Arabidopsis thaliana: one gene and its partners. The protein of the gene in region 1 interacts with the protein of each later gene in a pairwise test. Each region holds a gene or a part of one and is shown in the gene's direction. Other genes may lie near its edges.

Region 1 (7,431 bases):
ATTCTGTATTTTATCATGTAATGATTCAATCACGTAATGATTCTGTAGTTAACATAATGCAAGGTACAAAGGTGGTTGTTGTCAGTTTCAGTTTCAGTTTCAGGAAATGGATTCTCTTGTGTTGCCGTTGTTTTTACGCAGGAGTGACAAACACTTGGTCAGATTGAGATTTATGGCATTGGTTCTGATGTTGAGATGCTTAGAGAAGCTGTTTTGAAGAATGGAGGTGGGTGGCACGGGCATGGGTGGGTTGGTGATGGAAAATGGATTGTAAAGAAAGGTAATGTTAGCTCAACAGGAAGATGTTTGAGCTGCAGTGAGCAGTTAGCTTGTGTAGATACCAATGAGGTAGAAACACAGAAGTTTGTGGATTCTTTGGTGGCTTTGGCTATGGAAAGGAAGGCAAAAATGAATTCATGTGAGTCAGATGTGGTCTTCAGCGAGTTTCAGGTTAGAGAAAGAATTGATGATTCCTTGATTCTCTTAGCTTGCTTATAATAAGTCTTGGACATTAAATATTAATGAAAGTTTACTTTTTGTTTAGTTAACTTTGATAAGCATTTAGAGATAGGTATAGTGCTTGGAGTTTCTACTGCGAATTGTCATCAATCTTGAGTATTCAAATGTCGATATTTATTGAATGTTGCTATCTTATTTGGCAGGACTGGCTTGAGAAACATGGAGATTACGAAGCTATAGTAGATGGAGCAAATATTGGGCTCTACCAACAAAATTTTGTAGATGGCAGTTTCAGTCTTTCACAGGTTCTCCCATCTATTTTATGTATAAAAATATCAACAAATTTTCTTTTTTTTCATTTTTTTTTTTGTTTTAGAAACCCACTTAAGTATTCCACCAATGGACCACCAAATCTTTAAAAACTCTAAAAAAATCTCTAAACTACAAAACTATCCAAATTTATTAATAAAAAATACATAGAAACTTTATTTAGAAACTAATCACTGGACTTGCTCTTAGTCCCATGATTTTAGAGAGACTAGCCTTTGAGGTTAATGTGGGAAACTTTTGTTCCTATAGCAGTTCCTTATGTTCGAATGTCATGTATCATATCATATGATTGGTTTATTCATTCCAAAGAATGATTTCGTGAGGTTTTGTTTTTGTATCAAAATATTGATTTTCCGTGGTATATTTAACGCATTTTTATTTTCAAGATCAATCAATTAATTTATGCTTTTAAATTTACAATAAATCAAAGTACATCATTTATTATTTTCAAGATAAGTGGAGCAAAAAGCAACTTGAGATTAACTTTTTAAAAGATATAGCACAAAAATAATTAATCAAAATATATAATTTATAATTTTCTAAATCTTGGTGAAAAACTCAGGAATTCATTATTTTAGGGAGTAATAATATAAAATATTGTATGATTTTCTTCTATATGATTTATTAATTATTTTAATTGGAATTGCATCTCGGCAATGACACAACGATGATTCTAGCAAATACCGCTAGGTTATTAGTCATGGTCTAAAGACTTCAATATTTTATATTATTTTTTTACATTTTATTTGATTAAACTAAAACCATTTGTATTTTTATTTTACATACTAATAAATATGTTACCAAAGAGTATAAAAGGTCTTTCAATTATGTGTATATATTAGTGAATTTTTCTAATCCTTTGGCAGTTTTCTATAAATAATATTTCTTAAAGTACGCAAATATGTTTATATAGCAAACAGTTCTCAAAAATATCACACTTAAGTTTGATCTTTCAAAAATACTACTTAAGTTTTTGGTTTTCCAAAAATATCACAAAACTAAATTAAATTTTCAACTTTCAAATCCTAACCTTAAACACTAAAATCCTACCCTTAAAAACTACACCCTAAATCTAAAATAGGTAACCCAAACCTAAAATTTTAAATTTTGAACTCTTGGACATCAATTTGTTGTTTTGTGGTATTTTTGAAAAACAAATTTTTTTTGGTAGTATCTTTGAAATATTAAACTAATAGTGACATTTTTGGCAACAAAACTTAAAAAATGTGGTATTTTGAAGAATTTATCTTATATAACAAATATACAAATTAATAATTACTGCAAAAGTAGTTTGTCTCGTCTAAATTTTATGGATTATATTTGTAGAAAATTATTGTTTCCTTTTTTAAATTATTTGGTATATTAACTATTTAAAAGTTTCATAAATAAGAATTTTAAGATATTTAGTTCAATCACATATTTCTAAAGATCTCATATATATTTATTATTTTATGATATCAGTATAACTATATTTACCATAATATTTATAACTCTAAAATCAATTTCAGAAAATATACCAATTAACTATCAAAAATAATAAGTTAACAAAAATCATTGTACCTCAGATAAAACTTTAATACTGTAATCAATACTGAAAGTTTTTAAGATTAATCAATTCTATCTAGTTCAGTATTATGATAAGATTCTTTTAAAGATCACTATTTTATGCATACTTTAATAAACATGCCCGTATTATATTATCATCGGTAAAATAATTTTAATTGGAGATATTATCTGAAACAACTACCATTTCACTATTTTTGGATGACATTTACATTCTACATAGATAAGTTGAATATTTCATATTAATTACTATATAATTGATATTTTGTGTAATTTAAGAGAATCTGGCTTCAAATTATCAAAAAATAATAAAGTCATTCAAATAATTTTTATCAATCCATCAAATGAGATAGGGGAGCTATAAATATTATTGGAAATAAGATATCACCATTTTATCATAAATATATGTTATTATCAGTAACAAATTTATCGCCAATAACAATAGAGGAATGTATTCCATTATTATTTTAAAAACAGAGTTAGTAAGTAATGTAACGGCATATATCTATTGTCAATTTATCAGAAATAATAATGAATTTGGAATGGTCTTCATATTCTATATAACGGTCCAAACAAAATAATTCTATCTTAAAGCTCTCAAAATTATAGTGTTATCTCATGGTATCCGTTTTTGACGATTTTCATTTTTTCTGTATTTATCACATAAATAACTAAGTTTTCTATATTCATAAAGGAACATTATTTAGTGCAAAATTCATAAACTCATTTCATCCGATAAACAATATATCGAATGTTTTTCCTTGAATCTAATCTTTTATAATATACTCTCTTAAAATAAATATATAAATAAACTATTTTTAGATGATAATTACATCATATAAAGGTTAGTGTGTATATATATATAAAGAGAGAAGGATATATGTGTATGGAACACAAAGAAATAGTTCATAGTCATGCCGGGCTTAATCATATATATATCTCAAACCTATCACAATTGTGGCCGAGTTGCTAGAATCACATAACAATTTTATCATAAATATTTTTCATTAGTGATAACAAATCAATCGCTAATAACGTAAGAAAAATATGTTCTATCTAAAAAGTAGCAAAGAATATGATTGCATAAATAATGTAACGGAGTATATTTGTTACAACAATTGCTAAAAAAATCATACAATCATTTTATCATAAATAGTTTTCATTATCGATAATAGATCAATCACCAATAACGAGAGAATACATAAGAAGACCCTTTAACAAAAAAAAACGAGAGAATACATGTTTTACTTTAGAAAATAGCGACAAATAATTTCAGATAACAATATAACGATTTTTTAATATATTAAAATATGAGATTAAGTTTAGAATATTAAACAATTAACGAAAATGATGTATCAGTAAATCAAAAACATATTGACCATATTACGCTTGTTACTTGTTAGTAATTTTTTTTACGCCGCCATTTTTGTTGCTATATTTAAAAAAAATATTCCAATAATATTACTATTAGATATGAAAAGATCACTACTAATTAAAGGTGGATCTTTCTGGCAGATTTGGATACATTGTACAAATGAAATGAGAAGATAATAGTCAAATAAATTTGTATTGCATACCATATATTGATTGAATATTAAGATTATGAAATGTTACAAAAATAGTAAAATTCAAATTCAAATAAAAATATAATAAATCAAAGTTGAAATTTACTCATAGACAACTCAAATATTAATTATTTGGTTTGTAATATTCTGCTATAAATACATGAGCATTTTCATTCTACAAACACCAATCCTATATTTTAGCTTCTCAAATATCACTAAAAATGGTGAAAAAAAGCAAAGGTCGTCAAAAAATAGAGATGGTCAAAATGAAAAATGAAAGTAACCTTCAAGTTACTTTTTCAAAAAGAAGATCTGGACTTTTCAAAAAGGCTAGTGAGCTTTGCACACTTTGTGGTGCAGAAGTGGCCATAGTTGTGTTCTCACCTGGTCGAAAAGTCTTTTCTTTTGGTCATCCAAATGTTGATTCTGTAATTGATCGATTCATAAACAATAACCCTCTACCTCCTCACCAACACAACAACATGCAACTTAGAGAAACTCGTCGAAATTCGATTGTTCAGGATCTGAATAATCATCTTACTCAGGTAATCTTACTCTTATTTTTAAGTATGATTAAAACAAAATAGTGTTTTCTATGAATCATAAAACCCAAATTTCTATGGTTAAATTCTTTTTTTATTTAATATATATAAGTAAAAGTTTTCGCAGGTGAATAAATAATATATAAAAAACATTAGACAGTCTTTTTCTCCATAACTAGAATAGATTTATATCCTAATAGTATGTTAGATAAAAATGCCGATGAAATGTTATAGAATCATATGGTATGAAAATTAATAATATTATTGGTGTTTTTATTTGTATATATATTTGCAGGTGTTGAGTCAATTAGAAACAGAGAAAAAGAAGTACGACGAGTTAAAGAAAATAAGAGAAAAGACAAAAGCCCTTGGGAATTGGTGGGAAGATCCCGTTGAGGAACTTGCGTTATCTCAACTCGAGGGGTTCAAAGGTAATCTTGAAAATTTGAAGAAAGTAGTTACAGTCGAAGCTTCCAGATTTTTTCAGGCAAATGTTCCAAACTTCTATGTGGGAAGTTCTAGTAATAATGCTGCTTTTGGGATTGATGATGGTAGTCATATCAACCCTGATATGGATCTCTTTAGCCAAAGAAGAATGATGGACATAAATGCCTTCAACTACAACCAGAACCAAATTCACCCTAATCATGCATTACCACCCTTTGGAAACAATGCTTATGGTATTAATGAAGGGTTTGTTCCAGAATACAATGTGAACTTCAGACCAGAGTATAACCCAAACCAAAACCAAATCCAAAACCAAAATCAAGTTCAAATCCAAATCCAAAACCAGAGTTTTAAGAGAGAAAACATCTCTGAATATGAACATCATCATGGTTATCCTCCCCAGTCTAGATCTGATTACTATTAACCCTTTGTTGTGTGATCCAACTTAAGTCTCTAGACAAAAAGTTGTGTGTTTAGGTTATCTTTATTTCTTCTTATTTATGTTTCTACATGTGTTGTTGTTGTTTTTCTTGTTCTTGTTTAAGTATTATGTTGTATTGTGTTGTTTCATTTCAAAATTATGTTATTGCTATATATAAATTATATGTGTCGGAAACAAATGCATTACGCCTCTGAAAATACTAGTCTGCCATGGTTACGTTTACGCATTTTGGGCAATTGCAGAATTTTAAACACAGAAAGGTAATAATCATAATCAATCATGTACTATTTTAAAATAAATTTGCAAAAAAGCATAATGAAAATTTCTGTGTGCACCATTTTTCAACTAAAATAGTACATACATTATCCCACATATTTTGGTACATTGTAAAAAATGAAATGACAGCATTACAATGGCTTTCCCTCTAATTTCATTCCTTATAATGATGAAATACAGATATTGTGAAATATTCCTAAAATGATAAAAATCTAATTCTAATATAGAAAATATAATAAAATTAATGTTAAATTTAAGGAAAATATAATAAAATTAAGGTTAACTTTTAGTTGAAAAAAAGGCTAAATCTATGTCACATCATTCTATTTAATTAATCCGTGCAGTATACTCTAATATTTATTTTCCTTAAAAAAGATTAAATCATCATCAAATATCTAGTATGTATTAGATATCAATCTAAAAATAAATAAAAAAATTGTAAGAACAATACAAGAGTATCCACATATGTAAGAACTTAAGAAATGAAATTTTCAAAATCAAGCAAAATACTTCAAAACTAATATATATATTGTAATTTTGAAAACCTTAAAATCCAATGGCATGCTTTACACATCCCATAAACTCACATATCTCTCGAGTAAAACGGTACACATGAGACATCCATGGAGACCAGAAGAAACACAAACAAACACATAAATGGATTCAAAGACAAAGATAAAGTTGAAGTTCTTTTGTGAGCAAAACACACTTTAAAACATAGGAAATAAGCTTCTTTATGGGTATCAAACCCTAGTGATTGTAGGAGAAGAATCAGGCTGGCTCACAGAAGATGACTTTGATGCTTCCATCATGAGAGCAGCTTGCTCTAAACAACTCTTGTTATCGTCATTCGCATTCTCCACTTCCTCTTTCGTGTATAAGTGTATCTTCCACACCACATTGCAGAAATCACTATCCATAGCAGAAAGCCAATTTCAAGTTAGGAGAAAAGAAGTTGTGATTGACCTTTAGAAGGTATGTATAAAGAACTTACTGCCATGGATCATCGCCAACGACCATCATATCGTTCTCACTATCAGTATATAAGATCCTCCATCCTTTTTCAGGATCCCTGAGAAGCCCTTCCATGTTGAACAGCCGTTCAAGCTCCATAAGGAGATCATCATACCCGTTAAGTCGCGACAAATCAATAGCTCTCCCCACTTGGCTTCCTTGCTTGTGAACCTTTTGATAACAATTCAACACAAGAACTGATTAGAAGAGACATCTAAAACTGCAACTCAAAGTAGCCAAAGAGATGATAAAGAAAACGTTTTACCTTTGTACAGATTCTTTTGCTCGAGCTTTGCGGCTTAGATGCAGGTGTCTCCACTGGTAAGGAGAATCCGAAAAGTTTACATCCTGATGAAGCATTCATATTCAACTCACTGCCTTTCTGTTTTCCCATCATATCAATCTTGAATGGCAAATCAGCTGTAACATTATTTGGTAGGCCACCTTCATTTTGTGCATCAAACTTTCTAGTCTCTTCACCAAAGTTTATTGCACGTGAAGGGGGACCCGAGGATTGGTTTCCCGCATTGTATGGATTCTGATACGGAACATGAGTGCTCCTAATCCCATGCAAAGCTAGCGGATAGTAACTTGACTTGTTGGCTTGGTAAGCAAAGGGATTAGGAGCAGCAGCTGGACTGAAACCAGCAAATTGCGGGAATGATTTAAGCGAGCAAATTTCTTGACCTTGCAAGACCCTTGGAAACCTATCCAGGTCCATAACACCTGAACAAGCTGGGTTCACGCCAGTAGCATCTACAAACTCACCAAATCGATCCTTGACTCTACTCGA
Region 2 (6,681 bases), on another chromosome or scaffold:
TCTGGAAATTGGAACCTTTGTGTGAAGAGAAGAAACAGAAATGGAGAAGGGAAATGGATTGGCTACTTTCTCCAACTAACTACATGATTGAGTTAGTCCCTTCTAAGCAAAATGATGCCAATGGAAGATCACTTGAGGTACGTAGCTAAGGTGTTAAAATAAATAGATATACTCCAGAGGAAGAAACTGAGCTGAATCCTTGTTTTAACAGATAATGACTCCGAAAGCCCGCGCAGACATTCATATGAATCTCCCAGCTCTTCAGAAGTTGGACTCAATGCTAATTGTGAGCGGATTATCTCTTTTGTTAATCTTGTCTTTTCTTATTCTTCTATTTCCTGATCTGATTAAAGTTGCATTACAACTCCACAGGAGACACTGGATTCTATGGTGAACACAGAGTTTTGGTATTCTGAGATTGGTAGTAGAGCTGAAGGGAAGAACAAGAGTACAAGTGAGAGCAAACGATGGTGGCTTCCATCGCCACAAGTGCCTAAACCTGGACTCTCTAACTCAGGAAGGAAGAAATTGCTTGACAAAGGAAAAGTTGTTTATCAAGTCTTCAAAGCTACAAAAGCCATAAACGAAAACATTCTTCTTGAAATGCCAGTTCCCATTGTTATCAAGGAAGCAATACCTAAAGTAAGCTTGCACTCTTTATTATCCCTTGTGATAGTCATAATTATACAACTACCTCTAAAATCTTGTTTTGTAACAGTCTGGAAAGAACAGCCTCGGTGATGAACTGTACAAGATGTTGGCTGTGGAATCTGCAACAGTAGATGAAATCTTTATATCGCTCAATCTGGGAACCGAACATGCAGCACTCGAGACAGTTAACAAGTTAGAATCTGCTATGTTTGCTTGGAAAGAAAGGATTACAGAACAAGGCAGCAATGGTAAATCCCCTGTAAGAGCATCGTGGTCATTCGCTAAAGATCCGTTGTCTGAAATTGGTCGCAATGAGTCACTCTTGAACCGAGCAGAAGCGCTTAGAACTCAGATCAAATCCAAACACCCTAATCTCCCTCACTCGTTTCTTGATGCTACAAAGATCCAATATGACAAGGTATAAATAAACAAAACTAACTACATCTTTCTTAGTCCAATGGTCTGAAACATCTTTCTTCTCTGTGTTCAGGACATAGGTCATGCGGTTCTCGAAGCATATTCCCGAACACTTGCGAATCTAGCTTTCCGGATTCTTTCAAGAATGGGAGAAATCTTGAAAGAAGATTCTTTAAGCAACCCTAACTCTCCTGCACCACCGAGTTGCTTCCCTAGCTCCCGTGACCCTTATAGGACACCTGAGAGACCTCTGCTTTCGTCCCGTGTAAGGCATTCTTTAACCGATGACATGAACAAAGCCGATGGGACAGAGACTGGTTTAGATTTTTTGTTTGCAGATGCTAAGGCAAGTAATTCAGTGAATACAACTCCAAGTAGAAGCAGTAGACTGTGGTGTTTGAGTAAAGTGCCTTCTGATACTTCTCCTTGATTTAGAGGGTCTTCCTAGTTCGATGCGTGCCACCTGAAGCTTCTCCTTTACTTTGAAGGTTTTAAATTATGAAGCCTGAGATGTTGTAAATGTATTAACATATTGCAGTTAAAGTACGAATTCATACAATTTTGTTCATAACTTCACGGTGAAAAGCAAATTTTTAATCCGGGAAAAAAAATTGATACGATTGATTATGATTAAATTTATTAGTCTCTTCCAGAAAATACTTTACAAAATAAGGTATATTCAAAACAAAAATGTCCAAAACCATAATCTATTTATAATATACTAGACTAGAATCATTTTAATTACTACTTTCTTGAAATCTAATTTGAATCTCAATTAGGTTACTATCCCGACTTCCATCTTTGAATGAAGCATTAGCTGTCATCTCGACAAATGATCAACTAACAGGTATTTTCACCAAGCCACTATCTTTTGCACACTTCCATTAAGTCACTAGCAAGATTGGAGTATAAGAAGTCTTCATTTAGAAGGGATCTATCTTGGTTGGATATGTACATATTATGGGCTTAAGGATAATTTGAAATTAGCACAAAGCCTTAATGAGTTTCCGTTTGTACATACTACCTAATAAGTATAACAAAATGGCAAGCTTCACTTCGTCTATCATCCCGACACTAATGAGGTTTTTTGGGTTGGATTTAAGTTCAACTGTGCCATCCGATACTAACACAAAATATTGTTAAAGGCCAATTATGCTTACTAACTCAAAGAAAATCGAACAGACCATAATTGTTTTCAATATAGCAAGTATAGAGATCAAATGGATCTTGATTACCAAAAAACTGTTCTTGTAAAAAATTTCATATACATATAACTCAATAAGGACCTATAACTTTTCAAAAGATTATTTTACCATATTTAAAAAATCTTTAACTAAACTTTTGAACATGACCTATATATATAGTTCAAACATCCTAACTAGACATATAAATAAAAATGAAAATTATTGGAGGGTCTTAATAAGATACTCCCCCATTATAATCATAACTAAAAAAAAATTTAAGATAGAAAGAAGAGAAAATTTCTCAAATAAGAACTTTGGGTATACTAACTAGAACTTTACAATTGTCTCTTTTTAATTGTTCATTTTTATTTTTAAATTAAAATTATTAAAAATATTAAGACTTTAAAAGTTGGGATACTTTTTTGGGATATGTGAAAACCATTGGAAGTGCTCTAAACCTCTTGTCAAATTTCTAGTTTCAAATATTTACAGCTCATAATTAGCTGGCAGTACAATGAATATTTTAACCAAATTAAGAAAAATATATGCTCCAAAAGGTATAATATATGCATGAATTCATAATTTATCTCTAAAATAACTGATTTTCTTTTATATCCAATCATGATTTTACACGTGTACATTAATTGATACGTTTTAATGTCATAAATAGTCATATTAGTGTATAAGTCAAAAGATGGAAAAAATCCATATATATTATTATATTAATGTATAAAGACAGTTTTACCCTTATTTCCTTTTAATTAAAATCAACTTATTGACTAAACAAAATTAGATGGACCTTCTGGCCATGGCAGATTTTTTAAAAATATTTTATTAAAAATTTAATTCATATAACTAAATCTGTGATTTTAATATTTTATAAGGAAAAATTTCTTTATTACTTTATTATTATTTTTTATATTTTATTATTGTAAAGATAAATTTTTATACATATAAAAGAGCATTTTTTATATATTAAAACATGATAGAAATTTTAATGATATTTATTATTTTATTATATTGGTTTACAAACTTTTTTCTATGTAGGCTTCCTTTAATGTCTACATATTTCAAAATTTTCGCTCGTTCTAAATATTTCGTAAGACACGTTAATTCTTTCCCGAAATAATTTTACTATAGATAAACAAAGTTCCTAAGCTTTTATATATTCATGATTTTACATGGAAATTAAGCTGTAAAACTCTATTCGAAAAGAAAAGAAAAACACTTAAAATATTAGAAATTTTCACAGTTTATCAAAGCTTAATATTACTCTTAAAAGAAAAGTGAGTAATATACGAAGATAAACTATATTTAGTAAAGAGAAAAGAGAATCCAATCTTAGTCATAGCTTTAATTAGTGGCCTAATCAATTAATAAGACAGTAGCCAAAAGATTTAATGCTGTAACTACAAATTAATGAGTCCAGAAACGTGATAAGCCACACCCTGAGTAAAAAATCACCCTTTTCGTTGCTATATAAACAGTCTTGGGCCAAGAAACTAAACAAACACAAACACCAAAGAAAAGAAAAATAAAGATAATGAGGACGAAGACTAAGTTAGTACTCATACCTGATAGACACTTTCGGAGAGCCACATTCAGGAAGAGGAATGCAGGGATAAGGAAGAAACTCCACGAGCTGACAACTCTCTGTGACATCAAAGCATGTGCGGTAATCTACAGTCCGTTCGAGAATCCAACGGTGTGGCCGTCAACCGAAGGTGTTCAAGAGGTGATTTCGGAGTTCATGGAGAAGCCGGCGACAGAACGGTCCAAGACGATGATGAGTCATGAGACTTTCTTGCGGGACCAAATCACCAAAGAACAAAACAAACTAGAGAGTCTACGTCGTGAAAACCGAGAAACTCAGCTTAAGCATTTTATGTTTGATTGCGTTGGAGGCAAGATGAGTGAGCAACAGTATGGTGCAAGGGACCTTCAAGATTTAAGTCTTTTTACTGATCAATATCTTAATCAGCTTAATGCCAGGAAGAAGTTCCTTACAGAATATGGTGAGTCTTCTTCTTCTGTTCCTCCTCTGTTTGATGTTGCGGGTGCCAATCCTCCTGTTGTTGCAGATCAAGCTGCGGTAACTGTTCCTCCTTTGTTTGCTGTTGCGGGTGCCAATCTTCCTGTTGTTGCTGATCAAGCTGCGGTAACTGTTCCTCCTCTGTTTGCTGTTGCGGGTGCCAATCTTCCTGTTGTTGCAGATCAAGCTGCGGTTAATGTTCCTACTGGATTTCATAACATGAATGTGAACCAGAATCAGTATGAGCCGGTTCAGCCCTATGTCCCTACTGGTTTTAGTGATCATATTCAATATCAGAATATGAACTTCAATCAAAACCAACAAGAGCCGGTTCATTACCAGGCTCTTGCTGTTGCGGGTGCCGGTCTTCCTATGACTCAGAATCAGTATGAGCCCGTTCACTACCAGAGTCTTGCTGTCGCGGGTGGCGGTCTTCCTATGAGTCAGTTGCAGTATGAGCCGGTTCAGCCTTATATCCCTACTGTTTTTAGTGATAATGTTCAATATCAGCATATGAATTTGTATCAAAATCAACAAGAGCCGGTTCACTACCAAGCTCTTGGTGTTGCAGGTGCCGGTCTTCCTATGAATCAGAATCAGTATGAGCCGGTTCAGCCCTATGTCCCTACTGGTTTTAGTGATCATTTTCAGTTTGAGAATATGAATTTGAATCAAAATCAACAGGAGCCGGTTCAATACCAAGCTCCTGTTGATTTTAATCATCAGATTCAACAAGGAAACTATGATATGAATTTGAACCAGAATATGAGTTTGGATCCAAATCAGTATCCGTTTCAAAATGATCCATTCATGAATATGTTGACAGAATATCCTTATGAATAAGCGGGTTATGTTGGAGAGCATGCACACATCCCTTTCATGGACGGAAACTACTACAACTACCACCAGCCACCAACCGTTGGTCTTACTTCCACCGGTCACATGCCTTCCACCACCACCACCACCACCAACAACAACAACAACAACAATGTGTGATGTGTTTCAGTAGTGTGCATTTTGTGTTTTGTTTGTTTTAAAAGACCAGTATTTAATTATGCTTTTCCTTTTCAATTAGTTGTTGTAAGAGTTGAAGGTTTTACCTTTAAGTCAGTTCTATTTCAATGAAGTCATTTCTGTTTGGTCACAAATTATTTTTTACGAGCTTTTTGTTCTTAAAATGCATAACTAAATAGATCTGCCAAAATCAGATAGGATTTTGTTTCCAAAAAACATCAATACTTTTCAAGCCTTCATTATGGTTAAATACTTATATGATTAAATATTTTGAAGAGAGTTCAGGACGGAAGTTGTATATATAGGAGGAGAAGTACCATTGAGTATATATACGAGGAGAACCATTGTTGAAATTGGTCGCAGTGAATCACTCTTGAACCGAAAAGAAGCGCTTAGAAATCAGATCAAATCCAAACACTCTAATCTTCCTCACTCGTTTCTTAATGCCACAAAGATCCAATATGGCAATGTAAACATAAACAGAACTAATTACATCTTTCTTAGTTTATGTTCTGAAACATGTCATACTTTACAATACAATTATTTGTCGATATTAAATCCTTCTTCTTTGTTTTCAGGACATTGGTCATGCATGGGCTTCTTGAAGCATATTCCCGAACACTTGCGAATCTTGCTTTCTGGATTCTTTCAAGAATGGGAGAAATCTTGAAAGAGTTATAACTCCCTTGCACCACCGAGTAGCATCCTTAGCTCATGTGACCCTAAAGAGCACCCCAAAGGCCTTTGCTTTGGTCCCGTGTAAGGCCTCTCCGATGGGACAGAGACTGGTTTTCTATTTTTTGTTTGCAGTTGCTAAGGCAGGTAATTCAGTGAATACAACTCCAAGTAGAAGCAGTAGACTGTGGTGTTTAAGTAAAGTGCCTTCTGATACTTCTCCTTGATTTAGAGGGTCTTCCTAGTTCGATGCGTGCCACCTGAAGCTTCTCCTTTAAAAACCGTTTTAAAGACTGTATTAAGATTGAATATGGTTAAATTGATTTGGCTCTTCTGAAAATTTTAAATAAAAAGCTGAGATATTAAGAAAATAAGGTATATTTTAGGATATGCATATATTATGGGCCTAAGGTAATTTGAAATTAACACAAGCCTTAATGTATCTCTATCTGTACCTATCACCTACTAAGTATTCATTAAGATTTTTTTTTAGAAAAATGGCTTCCTAGCGTTCTATTTCAACTATAGGCTTCACTTCGTGTATCATCCCAACACTGACGAGGTTTTTTGGGTTGGATTCAAGTGTGTACTTCAACTAAGAACATATTTTTGGTGACCAGTTATGCTTACTACAACGTTCAGATAAGATCGACTATACCTTGAATTGTTTTAGTATGTGTAAATTAAATACATAGATTAAACGGATCG
Region 3 (5,885 bases), about 15 Mb from region 1:
ATATCCAAAAATAATAATTTGGTAAAGTTAACTATCACACCTTTCCTCTGACCACTTGGGCCGAAACTCAAATGGCTACGTTAAATTAAGAACTAATTATATAAATTTGGTACAACTCAAGATTTTATTTTTACAGTATGTAAACTCTAAGCATGCGGCACTTGGTTATTTGGGTGTAGTAATAATTATATAAATTAATACTCGATAGATTAAAATCTTTGATCCCTAATAAGTGTTTAAGATCATTTAATTAATAAATTAATAACTGTATAAATATTGAAATATCATAATTTCGATATTATTAATTTATAGAGGTTAAGCTTTATTAATTTCTAATTTTTTACTGTTATAGATTCACTAATTTTTCTTAAAAGGAGCATGTATATTCTCAAAATTAGTCGGATGTTAAAACGAAAAAAATTGAAATTGGGTGCTAAATATTAAAAAGAACAATATATCCATGAAACAAATTATCTTTCTTTTCTTTAGCCACATGTCATGAACCAAAATCTCTATTACATTTTTGTTGCTATTTGTAGTTGCTTCCATTAATATTCATACAAAGGTCGAACTTAACTCTGATTAATGATTTATTACATCTCTATAAAGTGGATACAAAGCTAGATGTCTAATCAAGGCGCAATATAAAATCTCTCTCTTCCCACTCTAGTTACTCTTTATATTTCCATCTTCTACGACACATAGGGCAATGGCCATAGCTCTGATACCATGTAATTGTATGAATCTCCGTGAATGGAAAGTTATGTATTGAACATATATATATAGGGTTACATGAGATAAGCATAAATCTGTTCATAAGATATTAGATATATACAAATATAAGATTCTCATATATCTAATCTAACAGGCAATAATCCCCGAGGAGTTTACTTAGAGGGCAATCATCCTCAGGGAGTTTGCAGTCAGGACAAGAAGCATCAAATGGCATCCGACATAACCCACATGTCTCATCTTGAGCATCCCATGTACCCCATGCCATCTAAAGTTTCTCACAATGTAATAGTTTTGGTGTATGAACCGTAAGAGAATCCAACAAAGGATTATTGAAATAGAAAATAGTCAAAATGCTATAATTTGAAATAGTTCATTAGAGCTTTATTGTGCAAAAATATAAAAAGAGGGAAAATAACTTAGATTGTCACCAAAACAAAGAGATTGTGGTTAATATTTCATAAAATGGATGAACGAGAGTTGTTTACATCTTTTAGACACATAACAATCCTATTTATATCACTTTCCAAAGAAACCCTAACACACATAGGCTTACAATAACACACATTAGATTTGTTTTGGATTTGTGTTTAGCTTTTAATTCCCTTGAATGGTCTTACATAAATTAAAATTGCATGTAATACTGAGAGTCAATGAATTTACTCTGTTTTTGAGTTTGAAAACATTGTAACACTGAGAGTCCATGAAAAACCTGTGTTTGAAAAAACAAATACTAATTGCAGGCGCATTGATCAACTGATCTTATTCTGCCCTATATGAATCAGTTGAGAGTTGATAAGAAGAATCCTCATAAGAAACTACTAGAAAGTCATCAACATCACTAACCAAAATACTCTTGGGCTTTCCAAGTCCAATCTAACTTCCACATTAATATGATATTGTCCGTTTTGGGCTAAGTGGCTAAACCCTCACAATTTGTTTATTGGGCTCCTAAGGTTGAATAGTGGAATATAGATTTAAACAACTTCTTCAACAGGTTCAAGAAGATTTCTTTTAAAGTTTTAGATCTAAACAAATATGTGGAGACAACAAACAAAAATCCAACGTACTCGGAATAATCTGAAATTTGATAGCATGTTCGGGAGACGAGAACTAAGGGATCAAATTTTGGTTCAGATGGTGAAATGAACTAAGTCGTTTTAGGAGTTAATTCGTAAGCTTATTGAACTATGTTTGGTTAAAGTTACTAAGTTTAAATTTCTCGTTCTGTTTTTTAACCACATAATAACGAATATTTTACATAGAATAATATAGAGAGAGGATGAGGAAGAAAGTGAGAAAATAACGAGGAAGATGAAGATGAAGACTATAACGAAGAAGTGAACGAGAAAGTAATGATGACAACGGCTAAAAGAAAATTAATAATTAAGATGACAAGAATGAATATGAAAAGTAAGAAACAACGAATGTGAAGAGAAATACAAAGACATATGTGTTGACATTCAATTGAATATGAAAAAATAAAATTGATTTATGATTCTTTCAAATAAATTCGATTCTTAAACACTACTGATTTTTATAATTTTAATATAGTGTATTTGAAATAAAATTGAATTTTTACTTCGATTTAAAAAATATAATTAATTGTATGTATTTCTTACCGAAATATATCAAAAATACACACGTATAGCGTGGGTACAAAACCTAGTTACAAATACAAAGATTAAATATGTGGGCGAATCTAATTATTTTGAATGGTTTATAAATGCTAGTTCAAATCCACATGTTAGATTTTGAAAATTTCATGGCATTTTAAATTTTATATAGATTTCAAAATCTTTGGCAAAAGGTAATAATATAGATTTCCAAATTAATTAACATACACAAACTAATACTCCCTCTGTTTTGAAATAGTTTTCGTTTATGGTGTTTTTACAGAAATTAAAAAATCAATTTTTTTTTATTTTACCCTTGTTTAATATTTTTTTTATTGGTAATGACATAAAAACAATAAGAATATAATTGGAATTTTTACCAAACATCTACATTAAAAATCTAAACCGATAAATATTATCAAACAAAATTTTAATGCTAGAACGAAACCTAAACTAATACGGAAGGAGTAATATCCTCTTAAGAATGTTTTTTTTTTAAATTACTTCCGTAGTTACCCTTTAAAAACATTTTTTTAATTGATTCTTGACCTTTTTTGTTATACTTTGTTTGCAAAAAAAACTTAAAAAATCTTTATGAAAATGATTTTTCAGTCAAGATTACCCACCACAATATAAAGTAAAATCATCTAGATATATATTCTATGTATGTTCAAACTATGTAATATTTATCTTTATTATATGTAGATATGTTTTCCATACATATAACATTTCAGAAAAAATAATGATAAAAATATTTGTAAAGTAAATGTTTTCCACATAAGATATGTTTGGATAATTATTAGTAATAACAATTATTTTAAAAAATATTTTATGAACCAGATAAAGAATAGTCGTTCGGTCAACTGGTCATGGATAAAAACTATTTTAAAAACTCAGCACTATAAGACTATAAGTCTATAAGTCTTTTTGAACAAGTGTCAGTTCTTGTTATGCAAAATTTTGGTATTAAGAAGTAACTATACCCAAAAGTTAACAAGGACAATTATTCAGTTAAAGTGTAACTATACTTTTCACAAACAAACTAAAAAACTTGTAACTAGATTAGTAGACTCCTTAATTCCTAAGTAAAAAATAAAAAATTGAAAAAAAAATTTACTTCTAAACATATATATATTTCTTTCCATTATCGTATTACCAATTTTGATATCCCTAAAAAGGTATGATATATATATGGTTGAACTGAGATAAATTTTGCTTAATTCCAACAATCAGATCTTCTATATAAAAAGCACTTCTCCATTCAAAAGTATAACACACAAAAAAATAAAGTCATGACGAGACAGAAAGTGAAAATGACTTTCATAGAAAATGAAACAGCAAGAAAATCAACATTCAAGAAAAGAAAGAAAGGTCTTTTGAAGAAAGCTCAAGAGTTGGGAATTCTTTGTGGCGTCCCGATCTTTGCTGTCGTCAACAGTCCGTACGAGCTGAACCCGGAGGTGTGGCCATCGAGAGAGGCTGCGAACCAGGTGGTGTCCCAATGGAAGACGATGTCGGTGATGGACAAGACCAAGAAGATGGTGAACCAAGAGACCTTTCTCCAACAGAGGATCACCAAAGCAACCGAGTCTTGGAAGAAGTTGCGGAAAGAGAACAAAGAGTTGGAGATGAAGAACATTATGTTTGATTGTCTTAGTGGCAAAACTTTGGTTTCTAGTATCGAAAAAACTGAGCTTCGAGATTTTGGTTATGTCATTGAACAACAACTCAAAGATGTTAATCGTAGGATCGAGATTCTGAAAAGGAACAATGAACCATCTTCCGCCCTCGTTCCTGTTGCTGCCCCTACAACATCTAGTGTCATGCCTGTGGTTGAGATGGGTTCTTCTTCGGTTGGATTTTACGACAAGGTTCGAGATCAAATTCAAATTACTTTGAATATGAAACAGACCACAAATGATTTGGATCTGAACAAGAAACAGTGGTGAGCCATCGTTGATCTTATTTTAAGTTGTTGTCATTTCAACTATCAATAAAAAGTTATTGTTTTAGTTCTGTTTGTTTAAGTTACATGTTTGGGTTGGTTTCACATGTAGTTGTATTTTCTCATGAATGAAATTTATTTTTCTTTCGTTAATTAATGTTTTCTCCTTATATATAATCGTTATGAATAAATGCATGCATCATATCAGTTCTTAAAACATGTTTTCTATACAGTAATGGCACAAGAATTGCATTCTCTGAACATAAACACAAATGGAAACCAAGCCATTGTGTCCAGTCTCAAATATTTGTAATTTAGATCCATCACTTTTCGACAACCAAGCTCGTTCAAGATTTAAGAGGTTTAATTCTGTATAAAAGGTCGTGATTTAAGACTTAACACTCCATTAAGTTTGAATAACATTGAACTAATTGAGGTCAAGTAAACCTAAATAAGAATTTATTCGCCAAAAACAATATGTTGATAACTAGGTTTGGCAATAAAATATTCAGATTTTAAATTAGGATTTTTACTAGCCAAATTGCGTAAGTTGAGATTTTTATTGGGCAGAATACGTATAATTGATTTTGCCAAATGAGGGCCAACATTGATAAACTTAACACTCCATTAAGTTTGAATAACATTGAACAAATTGGGGTAAAGTAAACCTAAATAAGAATTTATTCGCCAAAAAAAATAAGTTGATAACTATTTCTGGCAGTAAAAATATTGAGATTTTGTATTGGCCAAATTGCGTAAGTTAGGATTTTTACATGCCAAATTCCGTAAGTTGGGATTTTGATAGGCTAGAATGCGTATAATTGATTTTGCCAAATTAGGGCCAACAGTAATCAAACTTAACACTACATTAAGTTTGACTAACATTGAACAAATTGGGATAAAATAAACCTAAATAAGAATTTATTCGCTAAAACAAATAAGTTGATAACTATTTTTAGCAGTAAAAATATTGAGATTTTGTATTAGCCAAATTGCGTAAGTTAGAATTCTTACAGGCCAAATTGCGTAAGTTGGACCGCCAAATTGTGTAAGTTGGACCGGCCAAATTGCGTAAGTTGGGATTTTGATAGACAAAATGCATATAATTGATTTTGCCAAATTAGAGCCAACATAATCAAACTTAACACCCCATAAAGTTTGAATAACATTGAACTAAATGAGGTAAAGTAAACCTAAATAAAAATTTATTTCCCAAAACAAATAAGTTGATAACTATTTTTTGCAATAAAAATATTCAAATTTTGTTTTCGCCAAATTGCGTAAGTTAAGATTTTTACTGACCAAATTGTGTAAGTTGTGATTATTATGGGTCAAAATGTGTATGTTGAGATTTTTTTTACCTTTTCTCATTTGACGAAGGTAATATAGTTAGTTGCTACAAAAATAGTTTTATTTTTAAAGTTATAATAGGGACAACTGTATTCTAAAATATAAAGTTTAATGAGTAATAGCCAAAGGTTTGCATAACCAAAATAGAATCTTGGTTTGAGTGGGTAATTATATTTTTTATAAAAAATTTTTTACTAGACTCCATAATTGCTATCTAAAAAATGATAATCATAGTCGAATCA
Region 4 (6,181 bases), 4.6 Mb from region 1:
TTTTATTTTTCATTTAAGAAATGTTAAGAAATGTGGTATAATTGTACATGCCTTTATTTCTGAAATATTTATACTTCATATGATCCAACTATATTATTTGGGAAGTACATTTTAAATATAACTTTAATTTTTGTAAGTAATTACATAGGTATGCCATTAGAAATAAAATTTTAAAGAGTAAACTAATTTATCTCTTTAAAGATTAAAAAGTCAAATACTAATTTAATTAATAAAATTTAATTTAAAAACAAAATACATTATTAATTTTCAAAAATAATAACCAATCAAAATTAACATATTAGATTTGATATCTAAATTTTAATTAATTTGATTTAATTAGAAAAATGAAATACATTATTAATTTCCAAAAAAGTAACCAATTAAAATCAACAAATTAGATTTGATATCTAAATTATCATATTAATTTTTTATTAATTATTATAATTCACTTCTCATCTTTATATGATTCTATTTTTGCGAAAAAATAATATCATCATTATAAAAAAATAATTAGAGTTTTTTCGCATATGCCATAATTATAATTTTTAAAAACAAATATAAACTGTTCAATACATGAAAAAATATTATAACGGGTGAAAAATATATTTAAGAAAACTTATATTTCTACTGAGTAACGGGTCATAATTTGAAATATTTATATTTAATTTCATACATATTATATTGAAAATTTATAATCTTATATACTACAATAATTAATAACATATTAGATTTTTTTATGTGTATGATGTGATTCAGTTTTTAATACAAGCTGAAAAATCCTAAAATTGACGGGTTTAGATCGATATTAATACAAGATGGTATACTACAGGTGAAACTCTTAAATTAACAATCAAACTACAAGTGTATAATCTTAAACACTAAACAATATAGATAATATCAACAAAACATATACAACTCACAGTTTACTATACATTTAAAATCAAATAAAATAATATCATATATTTTTAAATCATCTTTACGATAAAAATTTTTAGTTTAACTAAAATATAAGCCTACATGCGGTATACTACAAGTTAGTATCTAGATTATAGGGCTTATTGGATCTAAAGACGGATCATCAAAGATTTCCTAAACTGAAGCAAAATATACTGAATACTCAAATATTTATCTGTTACCAAATTATAAACAAATAAGTTCGTAAAACAATTTAATATTTTATATACAAAATCAATTAAATCTTAATCACATAAAAATTAGCACAAAAAAAGTATTCAACAATTAAAAAATTATCAAATCTCTGTGTTATATAAGTTTTGATACTATATTCGAATAAAGTGTAATATTCCTTTTAAGTTTGTATTCTTTAACTAATTTAAACTAACTAATATATTTGCTAATCTTATACCTATCAAAACCGACTATCGTTTCTTATCTTTATAGTATTTTTGCAAAACTTTTTTGGTGGATTTGGGTAAAAATGCATTCGGGTCATATGGTACATTCCCCTATTAAATAAATATGGTCTACTCCTATGTTATCAGCTAAAATATTTAAATTATAATTCAGAGTCATATCATTAGTAAAATTAATATTAATAAAATAAATGGCTTTTTGGCAAGACGGATTTGGAGTGACGGGTTTTTGAATCAACATTAATAAAAAAGTAAAATATAATTAATCCACCGTTTCAATACGGGTTAAATCTTTAATTTATTATTTCTTAAGACCACTAATATTAAACATATCAAATCATCCTAATTTAGAAAAAATTATATAAAACCAAAAATGTTATGTGGTATGTATAATGTTACTATATATAAAATTAAATTATAAACTATAAATGTATTAGAGAATGATACAATTTGCAAAACTTATATATATAAAAAAGAATTCTTAAATTTTAAAAATTATTACTTTAAAAGAAAAATCACAGGACGGGTAAATAAATTATAGAACAGGTTTTATTTTGGAATTGGGTTATATGGTGGATGTATTTGAATCAATTTTTATAAAATTTTAAAATATTATTAATATGTTGTTTTAATAGGGGTTACAACTTCAGTTTTTTAACAATTGTCTCATGGATTCGTGGTATAGCGTTACTTAATAACAATTATAAACTATAAAATATAAATATTTTATAAAAATAAAATTTGCAAATTTTAATATATATTACTTTTAAAAAATAAATCGTCCCGCGGTATACCACGGGTTAAAATCTAGTGTGTATTGTAAAATTCCTATCTATGCAAAAGCATGAGATTTATGAAACGATTTTTTTAGATTAACTCTATGATGCTTAGATCATTCAATAACCTATATTCATTGTTTCCAGTAAAGAAAAAAATCACAAAAATATATTGAAACAGAATCTTTGACTATCTTATAATACCAAATCCTACTAGTTATCACAATATTTGAAATTATATTTTTAAATAATTGTACTAAATGCATTTTGATTAAATAACATTACTAGATTGATATTTCTTGATTATTGTTGTTAAAAAGTAAAATTGTTTATTCTATTTTATTGTTTTCATATTATCATTCTCATATTAGATTAATACAATATTTATCTATGACTTTTGGACAATAGTATTTTCATATGTCAAACCAGTAGTCCTAATACATGTAAAATGAAAAACGGTTTTCATCTGTATCTAAAATCCATTCAGATTTTTTAATATAATGTTCATGCATTAAGCTTGATTTGGACGTTTAGATTTTTTTCTTGTAATAAAAGAAAAGATACCCTATATAACACAATTTTATTAGCAGTAAATATTTTATATTTTTTGACTACCTGTAATCTAAAATTAAATGTCACTTACTAAAAGAAACAAAATTTTGTACCCTTTCATTACTATATATATATAACAGTACATATTCACAATCTCAAAACAAAATACACAAATAAAAAAGAAAAAACAAAGAGAAATATTTTTTCAATGACAAGAAAGAAAGTGAAACTTGCTTACATTTCCAACGATTCTTCAAGAAAAGCGACTTTCAAAAAAAGAAAGAAGGGTTTGATGAAGAAGGTACACGAACTCTCGACTCTTTGTGGCATCACTGCATGTGCGATCATCTACAGCCCGTATGATACCAACCCTGAAGTGTGGCCATCAAATTCCGGTGTGCAAAGGGTGGTTTCAGAATTTAGGACACTCCCAGAGATGGATCAACACAAAAAGATGGTAGATCAAGAGGGTTTTCTCAAACAAAGAATCGCGAAAGCGACAGAAACTTTGAGGAGACAAAGAAAGGATAGTAGGGAGCTAGAGATGACTGAAGTCATGTTCCAATGTTTGATTGGAAACATGGAGATGTTTCATTTGAATATTGTGGATCTTAATGATTTGGGTTATATGATTGAGCAATATCTTAAAGATGTTAATCGCAGGATTGAGATTTTACGAAATTCTGGTACGGAGATTGGTGAATCTTCTTCTGTTGCGGTAGCTGCTTCTGAAGGGAATATACCAATGCCGAATTTGGTCGCTACAACAGCTCCCACCACTACAATTTATGAGGTGGGTTCTTCTTCCTCATTTGCGGCTGTCGCGAATTTTGTTAATCCTATTGATCTTCAACAATTTCGTCATCCGGCGGCTCAACATGTTGGACTTAATGAGCAACCTCAAAATCTAAATCTGAATTTAAATCAGAACTATAATCAAAATCAAGAATGGTTTATGGAAATGATGAACCATCCTGAGCAAATGAGGTATCAGACAGAGCAAATGGGATATCAATTCATGGATGATAACCACCACAACCACATCCATCACCAGCCACAGGAGCACCAACATCAGATCCATGACGAATCTTCCAACGCTCTTGATGCCGCCAACTCAAGCAGCATCATCCCTGTTACTAGTTCAAGTATTACCAATAAAACATGGTTCCATTAGGTTTTTGTTAAATGTTATATTACAATAATTTGGATGAATTGATAAGTGAAATTATGATCAGCTTTAAGTTTTTTTGTGTGTAATAAATTGCATTACAGTTTATGTTCTCAAAGTTGTGAGTTTGTGACTGTGTTATCTTTACTATTATAGTTTTGCAATAATTATGCCTTTTAAAGTCGTAGATGTGTGATACTTTTATTTTTGTTGTTTATTTTTCCATGTGATATGTGTTTTTCCCCACAAATATGTCAACCAAGCTTGGAAAAGCTCTTACCAAACGGGTTTTAGTTACAAATTAACTATCTTAGCTCTCTTTCTTTGTCATACTCAACGCTGATTTTGATATAATTGTCGTCACAAAAACATTCCAAAGACTTGAGAAGAAACAAGAACCATTCAATATCCATACACTAAAAACAAAAATGTTGCAAGAATTCCTGCAACTACAATACTCTATAAACTCTCTCATTGTTAAATAACACCAGACAATCTTAACATCAGCTCTTGGTTTTCCCCAAGATTTGGCTTTGGAGATGTTGGTTATCTTCTAGCAATCTATCATACTCTAGAAGCAGCTCTGCAGACTGTTTCTGTAACGCCGTAACATGTGTTTCAGCAGTTTCGAGTTTCTTCTCTTTCTCTTTTGACTCAGTCTCTGCTTTCTTTAGTCTCTCTGTAATAGATGACAATTTTACTTGCAACTGCTTGATTTCCTTGGATGCTTTCTCCTCTTTCTCCTTCAGTTCGGTTCTTTCTTTCTGGAGCTGTTCAAGTTCTTCTTTCGATGATCCGACGTTGCTTCTCAAATTGATTAGCTTTCTGAGGTAGTGATGCATTCTGTCAATTATAAAGCCGAGAAAAAGTACGACTCCTGCAATGATCATTAAGATTTTTTAGCTTCAAATGTAATTTCATTATGTTACACACTTTATATAGCTCAACATTTTTATGTGTTACATATAGCTAAGAGCTAGATCATATGTGAATGCACTGTAATCAACAAATCAAGATCAATAAAGGAAGTATTTTGTTACTGTTAATAAGGATTCAGGTTCCAAACTTATCAACTACCGAAGCAGCTTCTCAAATCTGGTGAATACTAGCAGAACAGAGCCTTGGAGACAACTATAGATATATTCATATGTGCGATACGAAAACACCGGTACTGTGGTTCTATACATCGACACCACCATCCACTCAATTGGTATACAAACTCTTAATCAAAACATTATTAACTTCTTACAGAAGTGCTCACTCAACTTAAGCTTGCGAATTTGCATTATTCAGATCATTCCTCTATGAACAACAAAGCCTACAAGAATTCAGTAAAAGCTGTATTAGCCCTACTTGAGAGCCATGATCAACACAAAGTCTAGCCAAGATTTCAACTCTTGTTCAGAAACCATAACTAAAAACTAATCAAACAACAAAGTCCTATGGTTCAACTGTTGTTCAGAAGCCAACAGCTAAAGACAAATCAAGACAACAATCAAATAACAAAGCCCTATGGTTCAATTTTTATCACATCAAGAGAAAAAAAGAGAGAAACTGACCCAATAAAGAAGCTTCAAGCAAGTGTGTTCTCCAAAGAACCTGATCCATAGGAGACATTGTCCCAAGCTTTGCACCTTTATTCTGGATCTTGACAATGCTCATAAGATTAGAAAAGAGAATAACAGACATAGTTCCAGCGATTGTTTTCACAGTGGCAGGACCTTTACCCATCTTCATCTGGTCAAGACTTTTAATCACAAGCTCTCTCAAAGGACCAATCTTTATCAACAGTAAGAATGCAATCGCACCTTCCACAAATAGAACTAGAAACAGTAACTGAATCATGTCTGAATGAGTTCTCCCCCTAAAGTTTGTTCCTTTACCACAATTCACCAATAAGGTAAACTCTAAACCCTAATTTCTATAGCTCTTGTCTTCTAGTTTTGCTACTTGGGTATGGATTTAAAACCAAAACCCAGATCGGAGAATGAAGAGAAAGCAAGCAACGAGTTTATCTAAAACTCATTAGCTTTTTCAAGAAATCGGTCACTGAGTTCTTGATACCACCAAGAAATCATAAAATGGAGAAGACTAAGAGAAGAATTGAATTCAAGAAACTGAAGAAGGTTTTAGTAGGAGAGAGGAAACACTGAAGAGTGAAGAAGGATCTGAGAAAAGTTCAGTAGAAAGCATAAAGGTATAAATGTTGTTTAGTACTAATCTAGCGAGAGAGAGGGAGATCAATGGTTGTGATTAGTGGTGTACTAATTAATTATGTAAACTTAAAATTTAAGAGTGAACTCTATACTCTA

Evidence for each region.
Region 2: the proteins of AGL62 (region 1) and AGL92 interact in a two-hybrid assay, tested with the Arabidopsis thaliana proteins (one large-scale study listed by BioGRID).
Region 3: the proteins of AGL62 (region 1) and AT5G26630 interact in a two-hybrid assay, tested with the Arabidopsis thaliana proteins (one large-scale study listed by BioGRID).
Region 4: the proteins of AGL62 (region 1) and AGL80 interact in a two-hybrid assay, tested with the Arabidopsis thaliana proteins (one large-scale study listed by BioGRID).

The regions. Positions count from the first base shown.
Region 1 is NC_003076.8:24,302,191-24,309,621, forward strand, and holds AGL62 (AGAMOUS-like 62), read left to right. Parts: upstream 1-3,190; 5' UTR 3,191-4,138; coding exon 4,139-4,462; intron 4,463-4,754; coding exon 4,755-5,330; 3' UTR 5,331-5,526; downstream 5,527-7,431. Other genes in the region: AT5G60430 (antiporter/ drug transporter), read left to right, coding at 196-450, 663-878; ARF4 (auxin response factor 4), read right to left, coding at 6,368-6,536, 6,619-6,809, 6,904-7,431.
Region 2 is NC_003070.9:11,321,291-11,327,971, reverse strand, and holds AGL92 (AGAMOUS-like 92), read left to right. Parts: upstream 1-3,795; coding exon 3,796-5,053; intron 5,054-5,143; coding exon 5,144-5,280; downstream 5,281-6,681. Other genes in the region: ROPGEF14 (RHO guanyl-nucleotide exchange factor 14), read left to right, coding at 1-137, 212-286, 373-642, 719-1,069, 1,142-1,498. UniProt on the Arabidopsis thaliana protein: Putative transcription factor.
Region 3 is NC_003076.8:9,347,175-9,353,059, forward strand, and holds AT5G26630 (MADS-box transcription factor family protein), read left to right. Parts: upstream 1-3,637; 5' UTR 3,638-3,640; coding exon 3,641-4,297; 3' UTR 4,298-4,446; downstream 4,447-5,885. Other genes in the region: AT5G26640 (anaphase-promoting complex subunit 11 RING-H2 finger protein), read right to left, coding at 667-721, 867-1,000.
Region 4 is NC_003076.8:19,736,519-19,742,699, reverse strand, and holds AGL80 (AGAMOUS-like 80), read left to right. Parts: upstream 1-2,858; 5' UTR 2,859-2,909; coding exon 2,910-3,875; 3' UTR 3,876-4,054; downstream 4,055-6,181. Other genes in the region: AT5G48660 (B-cell receptor-associated protein 31-like protein), read right to left, coding at 4,373-4,746, 5,429-5,714. UniProt on the Arabidopsis thaliana protein: Probable transcription factor. Controls central cell differentiation during female gametophyte development. Required for the expression of DEMETER and DD46, but not for the expression of FIS2.